Linked DNA regions of Drosophila melanogaster. The protein of the gene in region 4 interacts with the protein of the main gene of each other region in a pairwise test. Each region holds a gene or a part of one and is shown on either strand. Other genes may lie near its edges. The genes, in order: CG13919, CG15282, whe and CG11007.

Region 1 (2,735 bases), on a different chromosome or scaffold from region 4:
GGGTTGTACGACATGCTGTACACCGGCGACTTGCCTGGTCGAAGCTGCATAACCACAGTGTCCTTAGTGGTGGTAAAGTCCAGTTTGCGAAGGAAACGTTCCTTGACGTAGTAGAGAATATTCCCGTGGACAGCATATGCAGGACGCTCTCGCTCCAGTTTAAAGACCACCATACCTGAAAGAATATGTATCATTACAAAAAATTCCTATTCCTAAAAGAAATCAACTAACCTCCATCGTGGCCAGCTGCAAACAGATTCAGGGTCGGATGCGCTGTAAGTATCCAGAAGCGCTCGTTGTCCCGCCGGAATGTAAAGAGGCACTGGCGCTTGGTCATGTCCCAGACGCGAATACTGCGATCTTCGCCGTTGGAGAGAATCAGGTCTTGCCTGGGATGGAACAACACGCTGGACACGTTGTTGTAGTGACCGCGACAGGTGTCGACCTCCCAAGCCTTGTACTCGTTCATGCGCCACAACTTCACAAGGCGATCATCGGCACCGGAGACAATCAGCGGCAGGGTGGGATGGAAACTGGCCCAGTTGACGCCACGGTCGTGGCCCTCGAGCACGTGCTTGACCACGGCATCTGCTTGGCCAAACAGATCAGTGGCACCCGGATGACCCTTTAGGTGGTCATCAAGCCCACCGGGCCCGGGAGCCACGTTCTTCTTACGCAGCCCCGAAATGTCCCACACGCGCACCGTCTGATCGAGTGAAGCAGAAACGATCTGATCCTCCGTGGGATGGAACTGGGCGCACATCACATAGTGGTTGTGGCCCGTCAGCACGCAGATGCAGTTGCGCGACTGCCAGTTCCAGATGCGTATGGTCTGATCGTCGGAGGCGCTCAGAATCCATGGGTATTCGTGGTGGAAAGCCACCGTGCGCACATAGTCCAAATGGGCCAGGAGGGTAAAAATGCATCGGCGTTGCTTGTAGTTCCACACCTTGATCTTGTAGTCGTCGCCGCCAGAGACGAAGAGCGGCATCTGCTGGTGGAAGGCCACGCCTCGCACCGGTCCGTCGTGCTCGTCGAACTTCTCGAGGAGCGTGTGCATCCGGTAGTCCCACAGCTGGATGACGCCGCTGTGCAAGCTGACCAGGATCCAGGGGCGCTTAGGGTGGAAGGAGAGGCCCTTCACCCTCGCCGACTTCGACTCGAAGTTGGTCAGCATGGTGGCACTTTTTCTGTTCTGCCTGTAGGTGTCTCAAATTGGATGCACTTCTAGGTGTCGGCTTATCCGTCAAGCGCCCTTTTTTTGCTGGTTCGAGCACTTGCCTGTATCAAAACATCAAGAGGTGGGTGTTAGAACAAACCCATTTTATTGATACGCTACAAGTAACACGTAATATACTGCCAACAATTAATTTTATGAAAAACACCAACCAATCGTCGAAATTGTGACACGTCAATTATCTTCTTCTTCGCGACCCAGTCAGTGTTGCCAGCGTTGGCAGATGTGCATACACTGGGAACCATAAGTTTTCAAAAGTACACACATGAATATGAATGAATTATCATGCTCTCCAGTCTTCTTTATATAGTTAAATATACAGATTTTACGTGATATTTTTGAATATATTTAATCTTCGTCAATAATATTCGAAAATTGAGTTGGTAAATGTATTTCTACGAACACTTTTAGTGACCACTGTAATCGTAGTTTTACAGCACTGGACAAAGTGCATTCTATTCACGGTAACTTCGCTTTGTTTATTTTCTGTAATACCATGGAAAATATATAAATAAGTGACAAAGATGACACTGGCACACCGGGCGCTCTTCACTTGGTTTATCGTCCTGGTCTTCCTGATTCTTCTGTGTCTCCGCCTGGACCCACGCACCACCTGGAATTGGTTCGTCACCTTTACGCCACTCTGGTTCTTCGATGTGATCATTATCATCTACGTGATCATTAAATTTATCCGCAAGTGGCGGAACCTAACCTGCCTGACGGATCTCCTGTTCCTCTACAAATGGAACATTGCCGGCGTCCTGCTGACCATCGCCTCCCAAGTGATGATCTGCCTAACGCTGGAGTACCCGCAACAGATTCCCATATACGTGACCGTTGCCCCGGTCATCCTGCTGCTGAGCACCGCCATCTTCTATGTTGGCAGCAGGCTGGGAAAACGAGAGGGCTGGATACAGTAATATTAAGCATATATTGTAGGATTAGGTGTACATAAAGTGAAAACTCAAAAGCCGTATTTGCTTTGGGTGGCCCGACGGGTCTGCCGGTTGGCCGACCACATGGCCTGCAGCTCGGCTTCGTTGGCCTTCGCCTTGTGCGCCAGGTAGGTGATCTGGTGCTTGCGCCGAGTCCCTGCCACCGGCTCCTCGTCCGTCAGCACGCCGGTCGGTTGGAAGGTGGTGGACGAAGCCAGAGCCGATCGCATCCATTCCTCGCGATCAGGTAGCACCTGAGACCCAGATATGTCGATCACCTGCATCTCCTTGGCCTCCTTCCGCCGGCGCTTGGCATTTTTGCCCACCAATGCGTCCATGGCCTCTGCGTTTAACTGTTGCTCATGGTAGCGCTTTTGTGCAATCTGAGACTGCTCTTCCTGAAGTCGGGCGGCTTCTGCTTCGGCTGCTTCCTTCTCGGCTACCTCCTCTAGGTACTTGCTACTGGCTTCCACCATCTTGGCCGCTCGCTTGGCCACTAGAGCGCTAATCTCGTTGCTGCTCACCTCAGGCAGCTTTTGCTCGGAATTCAGGGAGAAAAAGTC
Region 2 (2,988 bases), on a different chromosome or scaffold from region 4:
GAAATTCATATGGATGGAAATGGAACCACCCACACGCCACCCCACATATTCAGCTCCAGGAATTTGCACCCACCTGCAGGTGGGGCATAACATTCTGACTGGGCTAATGCATTGCTAGCCACCCAAATAACCTAAGACATTGCGTCGCACGGGGGTGCCAAAGAAGTCAAGCCAAGTTACTAGTGCCAAAAGTTTAAAATTAAACGTAGTTATATCAAAAAAAAAACAGCTTGGTTGGAAACGTAGGGTACTACTGAACTATATATAACGAAGAATGTGTATCTTAAATAGTTTAAATGTTTTTTTTTTACTATTTTATTTAACCTTTCTTTCATTCGCCAATACCAACTTAACGTAAATCAAGAAACTAACGTAGTCAACAGTTTGTTGTTTACCTATCGGTGACGCAAATATTTAATTATAAATTCAGCTCGATTAAAGTTTAAAAGAGCAAAGAATGTCCCAAAAATGTTGCGTTGTAAGCAAAAGGCTAATTATGTTTATGCAAAGTGTTTTTTTTTTGAACTTATGGAACCTAATGGAATATAATTTGAACAAAATTATTGAAAATTGACGGTAATTGAAATGAATTTGAACAAATTTCAGTGCACGGCTTTGGGTGTCGTGTTGGGCCACCATCAAAGGAGTCAAAGAGCGTTGAATGTTGAATGTTGCAACTTTGACACGCGACGCAGACGTTGGCCCAGAGTGTTTTCCCCGGAGCTCTGCAATTTTAAGGGCCTAGGCCTCCCGAAAAGGGTTCATTAGACATTTTACCAAAATTACTGCACATTTCCAAAAAGCAACGGCTATATGATTAGTTTTGAAGCGGTGGTTTATTTGAAGTAGAGGGTTTACTTTGATTTAAGTTAAGTTGAGCGAGTTTGCGTTGTAAGTTACTTGAACATTAAACGGATAAAGTCACTAGTACCCACACTAAACAGCTTACTTGCCAACCGGGAAGAGGGACTTGTGGTGCCCGACTAAACACAAATTCGATGAAATAAAAATAAATTAGCTGCTTTAAATGAGCCAAATAAATTCATTTAGGGTTTTATGCGCTCCACTGAAGTATGCCAAAAGGCACCGTCTTCGTCGTCGCAGTCTTTCGCATCACCCTCTTTTCGGATGGCAGGGTTAAGAGCCAAGTTAAAGGCAACACGTATTGCCAAACTCGATTGCCGCTGGCGCCGCACACCAAATGCAATTTCACTTCACCCTCGTCGAGGTACGGTAAAATTTCCAGGGTCTCCGGTCTCCGGTCGCCAGTATTCCCCATTCGCTGCAGGTGATTCCCCATCGAGACACTTATCTATTGAGTGAGCTTGGTTCGCTTCGTTTGGACCGCTCTTGAAGTGAACGCCAACGAAATAAGAAAACAACAAAGTTTCTTTTGATTATGTCAATGGAATTTGTTTATCTCAACGAAATGTAACCGAATTGAAAAAAATATGTTTTTTTTACGCTCATTTGCATTTACTTTTGCCCGGATATAAATGTGGCAATTGGAAGGGGTGATTTGTTCAAATGTCCAGCTCAGTAAGATTCAATAATTATATATACACGTAACACATTAATGTGATTCTATGGTAAACATTAGAGTAAGGAAGCAAATTTGTTTTGAGAACCCCAGAAACAAAGGCATCATCAACAACGTCAAGTAGCATCAACAACGTCTAGTTTGGGTTCAATATATTGATTCTTGGAAACGTGCCTCTAGAAACTGAATAGCTTAGTCATAAATTCAGTAAAAATACTATTTAAATATAAATTGGCAAACTATTAAAATTCATATCAAAAGCCACGCACCTGGCGCCTGTTCCCCTAAAAAAAAATGGAAACCGGTCAATAACCACAACAAATTCAAAACCGGATTGGAAGAGAAACGCTGGTCACCTGTGAGGAAAGCCCCCACGTCTGGTCCAGTGTCTGGGACAAGTTTTTATTTCAGTGCGGGTAAAGAACCTCCGAAATTCAAACATTATATGAATTCAAAAAAATCGTATAAATAGAGAAAGACGTGACAGAAAGGGCACAGTATCGAGTGCAACATCGAAGCATCCTCATCTTCTGGGATATTAGTACAAATTGAATTCATTTTCAAATTCAATATGAAATTCTTGGTAAGTTTGGCCACCAGAGCTACACCTCGCAGGGATTAAGGACTTTATAAAAATAATAAACGGCCATTCAGGTGATCGTTTTTGTGGCCCTTATCGCCGTTGCTTCCGCGCTTCCTCAATTCGGATATGGAGGATTCGGTGGATTCGGAGGATTCGGTGGCCAACAGCAGCAGCAAGAAGGATTCGGCGGTTTCGGAGGCTTCGGAGAACAGCAACAGCAGCAGGAAAGCTTCGGTGGATTCGGCGGATTTGGAGGAATCGAGCAGCAGCAGCAGCAGCAACAAGGAGGCTTCTTCTAAGGCTGTTACTTTAGTTCCTCGACTAAAAATTAAAATAAATTATTTGAACGTATTAGTATAACAAACACAAAACAGTTTTTGTTTTTAAATACTCATTTACATGTTTTGACAATGGCTTATTGTAGGCCTTTAGATCGACAGAGATTTTATTAATGAGTAACCTTCATTTATTTCGCTTGCTTATAAATACGTTTGGGTTTATTTTTTTGGACATAAGCAACATCAAGAAAAATGAATTATTAAATTAAATTAAAAATTTGTGTTTCAACATAAAAAATTGTTTTTATTTAGCTAATCGAAAATCACTTAATGGGTTAATGACATTTTTGTGCTATAACAACATTAATTGCAAACACTTGAATAATTCGCAAATGATGTTGGCATAAAAACCAAAGGCAGATACTGACTCATGCAAAATTGTGAAATAACCAAATGTTCTGACAGCAATAATTTAACAAAAAACCTAATTTGATTAGCGAAGAGCATACGCCAAGAAGAGCTGATTGCAAACCTGTATTTTTAGTGGGCCCGTCAACCCCAGATACTTGAACGTTTTCAACAACAGA
Region 3 (2,921 bases), on a different chromosome or scaffold from region 4:
CGATTGTGCAATCGAATCAGGCCTATTAGACCCCGTTTGGCGCATTAGCAGTACGTTCCGGATGGATATGGATGCGGATGCGAACGAACGAGGATGCGGATGATGCGAATGAAGATGCGGAGGTGGGGCAGGCGATCCCATGACCATGCGAACCGGACTTCGACACCAGACACTAAATGCCTCATCAGCATTCCGGTGAGTGTTTATCTGAGGGTGTGAGTGGATTTGCGTTCGGGTTAATCAAAATGTGACCGATGGCAACGACAGCTGACCGCAAATCAAGGGAACGTCCGGGCGGCCAATTACCCCAATAATCAGAACCCGTTGGGAAATCTTTCTAATCGTCCTTGGCAGCAGTCCTGTGGACTGCTACTTGGTATAGATAACTACTAGCTAATAGCTGGCATGTGAAAAATCAGCTAATATCTATATCCGTATCCTTTAAGCTCTCATTAAATTTTTTAGCACACGAATAAGAAATTAAGTTTAGATGAACTGATGGTACAGAAAATGTAATTTATATCTGAAGAGCCATATATCAATCAAGCCATAATTGAAGCGACCGCCAATTCTTGAGGTTATAACGATTATCCTGTTCCCTCCGATTGAACTCAGAAATGAATCCAGACATCTAGAGCTTTGTATCGCATCCTGCGAGTCCCTGTCGTACACCCATGCTCTCCATAAAGCTACCACATAACGGCAGCCACATAGGAAAAGTGGAAAGTGCGGTGCTGAAGTGGAATATCCAGTCCACCGAGCTGGTTTTAGAGCGTCGAAATTGCCTTTTTATTGACAATTCACAGCACGCGCCGTTGAAACAGATCATCAAAGGTTATTACGACTACAGAAAAGGTCCTTTTGTTGCTGTTGTAAATAGATTCATAAGCAACACTACATGCCGGCAATTGCGAGACAGGAAAATAAGCGAAAAGAAATCCTGCGAGTGAAAGTGTTAACACTTAGGGTAAGCTATACACTCGCTGCAAGGATACTATATGTGGATATTCGAGAGTTGGTGCGTGCACTTCTCCGCGGGATAAAGGCAAATTTCAGTCTGAATGTCAAAGTTTGAGCCTGGCAGTACTTTGAAATATTCATAAGAACGAACACTAAGAAAAACAGGGTTAAAGTTAGCTCTCAACTACGATAAATAAAAAAATGTATGCTGGCTAAAAAAAAGAGCACGAAATAACGAAATTTAATGCAAGGTCCTGAAAATAGGCTCGTGTTGCAAAAAACCGGAAAGCAAGAAGCCGAAGCTCAATGTTGAAACATTTGTTTAGTACCAGAGATATGAATTTCCAAGTAGAACTCACACACGGTCATAAAGCAATAAAGCGGAATCATGTGCAGAAATTTTTATAAGTTAGGTGTATCATCCAAGTGGCAAATGCTCCAGGATCTTAGAAATGCGCGGAGTGTGGGATTTGTGGGGGCGAGACAAGTGCAAGTACTTTCCACTTTTTTTGGCCAAATCCCAGCAAAGAGCTTAAGGTTTCAGCTCAATTGTTTTGCCCGACTTTATTTCATTGCCATTTTTATATTTCCCCATCTTGGGTGTGCCGAGAAAAGCTTTAAGCTAAATCAAAATGCATATTTACGGAAAAGAAAAATCTATGAAACAGAAATCTTATAGTTAGATACTTTGCTAAAATAAAAAAGAAACGAAAAAACCTAAAGCTGTTCCAATAAATCTACATTTTATTCATTAGATCACCCGGAATAGCTTTAGGAAGTAAGTATAAATATAATGAATCTAAAGTTTCACAACCACGAGGTTAGTTTGTTTAATATTTTAAGATCACCAGTTGGCCAAGTATTTCCATTATGAAGGGTTTACACAACTTCACTTGGGTCATCGCTGTTTGCACAATGCTTCTGTTTGTCCATCGAAAACATAGAATTGCAAAACACCTGCAATAGATCCGATTCCGTAGAGATCTCCGAGGTATATATAGGGCTCGGGTGCAGTTGGTGAAGTCAATTGAATTTGCTAAGTCAATCATCTACAAAATCAAAATGCGTGTAATCTTCCTCATCGTTGTGCTCGCCATGGTGGCTCTGGCTGCTGTCCAAGGACGTCGTCCTCCAGGACTTCCGCAGGGAGGTCTGGGACCACTTCAGGGCTCTGGAGGACTCCAGCCGCCGCAGGGAATACCTCAGGGACCTCCCCAGGGACTCCCACAAGGACCTCCCCAAGGTGGCAACTCATCCTCCTCCGAAGACTCTTCCTCCCAGGAGAGCTCCAGCGAGTCCTCCAGTGAGGCGTCCGCCTAGAAACTCGATCGCCGAGTCCTTCATGTAAAAACATTCAAAAATCTTTAAATAAAGATATATATTCTGCTTATTTCAATATATAAAACCGTCCACCGATTCCATTAACTGCACCGATTTCCATTTCGAACTCCGAGTAATGGTTGCGTTGCTCCTGCCCGAGGAATGGAAATGGAAATGGGCCTGGGTGTGGGTGTGGGGGCGTGTCTCAAATCGGTTGCCTAAATAAGAAATCATTTTATTTGAAAAGTTTCCCTTTGGCACGCCCCCTCCAGCTGCCACCCCACTTTTTGGAAGGCAGAAGACGGCGACGTCTGCGTTTGGCGACACCAGCAACATCGGGCGAAACAAAAGCAACAAGGGCAACAGCGGTACAACAAAGCGAAGACACCAACAATAAGCTGAAGCAGCTGAAGGCGTTAGGAAGTACCCACACGACTTGGAAATACCTATTGTACGTATGAATTAAAAGCAAAAAAGAACAGCATAAAATATTACTTTCAAAGAGCGTAAAGCTACGTAACTAACAAGGCAACTAGATAATAAGCTATTAAGATAACAACTATTTGTTAAATGGCTTTAAATGATTAGGTACAAATCAAAGGATATTTCGAAATGATAATTGTGACAACTGATAAATTATG
Region 4 (3,700 bases):
AAAGCCGGCAAGTGATCGCCATTTTGTGCCACTTATCAGTTGCAGTTGTCATTGTTTTGGTTTTGCCTTTTTTTTTGTCATTTCCACACACAAGCCTATTTGTTTCCAAGCTCTACGGGAAGTTTCGATGGGGCTGGGAAGTAGATTTGTGTACTTGATATGGCTATCAGAGCCCTGGATCTATAGACCAGTTTTGCTTTTTAGCCGCAGCCAAGATGAAGGGCTCTCGTTCCCATCACGAGTGTCCCTGTACTCAAATGGCTGACAATCTTACGAGACTTTATTCCAAACCAGATTAATCCGGCTGCCAACACACTATAGCATGCTGGCAAAGGCATTTGTGATTATAATATTATTAAAAACTGACCTAAGTGCACGTTGTTTACTGAAATTTTCACTTCATTTTTGTTTTGGCGCAGACAAGGTGCAAAAGCATCAACACCTTAGATTTGACTTTGATTAGTCATGATCTCGGATTTTCGAAATATTTTCTGTATTGATTCCCTATTTCATTTCTATCAAGTTGTACAAAACAGTGCACTTGAAAAAATCTTATTTTGTTTTAAGTTAATTGTTTTTAATATATTATTACCAAAGACACTAGAATTCTTATTCTATTGTCTTATTCTAGTGTCTTTGTTAATACTTTTTTTACTATAAAGTGAATGATTGGTTGAATTTAAATATAAAGCCACGAGAAAGTTGTTTGATTCGATAAGGAGGTTACTAATAACACAGTTGAAAATATTCTATAAATAGAAGCAAGCTCACTTTATTTGCCAGTGTATTGAACATAAAATAATCGCTGTATAAACAAAGAACGGCCTACTAGTGAAACCAGTAAAGAGGTGGGTGATCGATCCGATGGGGATCATGGAGATGACCCTCGTAAATTGGTCTCAATAATACGATTAAAAATAAATCGTTTAGTCCAGTGACGCGCACAGTGTTTACTACAAAAAAATTAATCTTTGCACAACGCGGAGAGTCAGCCACGATGGCGATAATACTGGTGATGCTCTATGAAGTGGGTACAAAATTCTCACAGTATTCACACAGTTCCAAACACATTTAATTTAGGAACTACAAAAAAAAAGGCCAAAATAATATTTGGGTGATAAGGCGACTGATGGAAGCCACGAGCGTCTGAGATCACGTAGAGAGCCAAGCTTTTTCGCAGATTTGAACTCGGCGTGTGTGCCGATAATGAAGATCCTCGATGCCTTTTTTTTACCTTTTTTTTGCAGTGGCCTTTGTGTGCTAGGTCAACAATCTCTCAATGACTTTAGCAAAATGCTGATGTAACAATAACTCGCTTATCAGTTTCGGTTGGTTTTCGGGCAAACAAATATGGTTGTCCCAAGTTCTGTTTATGGTTTTAACTTTTGATTAATTATCATTTAAAAAAAATGCTAAATACTAAATACTAAATACTTGTAAGATAATAATGCATATAAGTAAATAAAACGTATCAAAGAACGTTTAAGAAAGGCAAACTGTTAATTGATGATTTTGAATTTGAAAAGGCGCCAACGAACTAATACCATTTCCAGCACTGACAAGAGTGCCACTGTTCTTTTATCAGGTGGCAACGCCCGTGCCAGACAACTAGGCTGCTAATTTCTAGTCAACGGCGAGGCTAAAATTAACAATTGGCTGTCAAAAGCAAGAAAAGAAAAACTCGGGAAATTGTTAATTAAAATCGTGACCCAGATCAGCGCATTCAGCCCCCGGACGCAGAGATGACGTGGAAGAAGCAGATGGCTCTGCTGGCCAAGCCATACTACTGGGTTAACATACTCCTGGCCATATCGTACCTTTTGGCCAAAAAGACGCAGTTCATCTGCACCCGCCTATTTATTCTCGCCGGAGAGGATGAAGCATGCGACCTGGACAGTCGTGAGGTGGAAATCTTGTTCTTCCTGCTAATCGTGGTGATGATACGGTCACGCAAAACGGGCAGTGTCACCATGATTAACTACTTGGCCTCGTCGTTCCTCTACACCAAAGTGGCCAACGCCATTTTGTGGGCCTACGCGGACTTCCGCTACGGCCTGGGCTTTCTGCTTCTATGCGTCCTGGTGGGCATGGTGCTGCCGGAGCCCTCGTATCGCGGACCCGAGCACATCACCTACTTCCGCAACGCACAGGTCTTCGAGGAGGAATTGGCCAGGGACAAGCGAACCAGCTGGCTGATCTGCTTCTACACGGTGTGGAATCCCAGCTGCGTGAACTTCGCCCCCGTTTTTGCTGAGCTCTCCGCCGAGTACAACACGGACCACCTGAAGTTCGGCAAGATTGACATTGGACGCTTTCCGGACGTGGCCCAAAAGTATCGCATCTCGGACAGCAGCTTCTCCCGACAGCTACCAACTGTGATCCTGTTCCAACAGGGCAAGGAGACGGACCGCAGGCCCTGCGTCGATTCCAAGGGTAAACTGCAAAAGTTCTTCTTCTCCAGCGACAATGTGCGCGCCACCTTTGGCCTTAACCAGCTGTACAAGGAGGCCATCGAACGACTACCCATTGCGCCCAAGGAGGCCAAGAAGGTCCAGTAGGCTGTCCTGTCCACCACTGGTGCCATCTCATTTCTGCGTGCACGTGCTAATAACTGTTATTCGTTTAGTTCATAGTTTATTTTAACTTATTGAGGAGCTGCCACCGCCAAAGACACGTACAATTGCACTAATATTTGCATTCTAAACTCAGACGTGCTCTCGTCGCGATGCCATTGTAGAAAATATTTGTATGATCTTGCATTTGCATAAATTGTAGCTAATCACCAGGTACCAAATATATTTAAAAATGTGAAATGAGTCAACGAAAATACGCAGTTCTTTTTTAATTCCCAGCCGAGTCTAACATTTCATTCAATTAGCACAGCTCAAACGATCATTTCCGGTGCTCGTTTAAGAACAAGTAAATATTAAGATGGACTGGACAAGCGTAAATTGAAAGAATGTAATAAAGAACTTACGCTGTATACAAATAGCTAGTAAAATAGTGAAAATATAGAGAATGAATATATAGTTTCAGAAAGGTGCCCATACTGGTTTTCGGTACAAATGTATATAAAGTGTTTGTGACAACCCACAATTTTATGACATATTTATTGTATTTTATACGTTCTGACTTGCCGCTTAAAACAGAAACCTTCGTCGTATCCCCCCGGTTTATGAAATATAAAACCAAATGGGCCCGTTGTTGCTGCCAATGTGTTGAGCAAAATTGTATGGCAATGCAAATGGCACAACAAAAATGTTTCCGGCGTGTTGCGTTCTGTTCCGAAATGGCCCCGCAGACATCGGCCATATAGACAGATCGTATATGGATATATATATATATATATACATAAGAACCCAACAGGCCAGACGCAGAACGAAATAAACGCAAATCCCTTTTATCCATTCAATATGAACACACATACGTATAGAGAAACGGACGAATTTAAATGCATAAATACAGGCGACTGCACACCAATCACCACCCACCGCACACCGCCCACAACCACCCCCCACAGATGTGAGCAAGGCCTTTGTGGTTAATATTTGTATTTTTCTTTACTTTCATTGAAACGGCATGAAAATGGCCATTGCATTTTACGTGAATTGTATATGGTAAATAATGCGATTGTCTCACACGGCCGTTTTATTTGCGGAAAATTTAAATTCGCCATGGCAATTGGGACAAGATTCACACC

What was found.
Region 1: the proteins of CG11007 (region 4) and CG13919 interact in a two-hybrid assay, tested with the Drosophila melanogaster proteins (one large-scale study listed by BioGRID).
Region 2: the proteins of CG11007 (region 4) and CG15282 interact in a two-hybrid assay, tested with the Drosophila melanogaster proteins (one large-scale study listed by BioGRID).
Region 3: the proteins of CG11007 (region 4) and whe interact in a two-hybrid assay, tested with the Drosophila melanogaster proteins (one large-scale study listed by BioGRID).

The regions. Positions count from the first base shown.
Region 1 is NT_037436.4:1,643,781-1,646,515, forward strand, and holds CG13919 (uncharacterized protein), read left to right. Parts: upstream 1-1,686; 5' UTR 1,687-1,761; coding exon 1,762-2,157; 3' UTR 2,158-2,201; downstream 2,202-2,735. Other genes in the region: alphaCOP (coat protein (coatomer) alpha), read right to left, coding at 1-175, 232-1,177; CG17249 (uncharacterized protein), read right to left, coding at 2,202-2,735.
Region 2 is NT_033779.5:14,710,631-14,713,618, forward strand, and holds CG15282 (uncharacterized protein), read left to right. Parts: upstream 1-1,840; 5' UTR 1,841-1,956; intron 1,957-2,012; 5' UTR 2,013-2,111; coding exon 2,112-2,123; intron 2,124-2,194; coding exon 2,195-2,422; 3' UTR 2,423-2,488; downstream 2,489-2,988.
Region 3 is NC_004354.4:21,401,819-21,404,739, reverse strand, and holds whe (what else), read left to right. Parts: upstream 1-1,967; 5' UTR 1,968-2,022; coding exon 2,023-2,280; 3' UTR 2,281-2,401; downstream 2,402-2,921.
Region 4 is NT_033778.4:19,501,446-19,505,145, forward strand, and holds CG11007 (uncharacterized protein), read left to right. Parts: upstream 1-1,622; 5' UTR 1,623-1,742; coding exon 1,743-2,558; 3' UTR 2,559-3,149; downstream 3,150-3,700.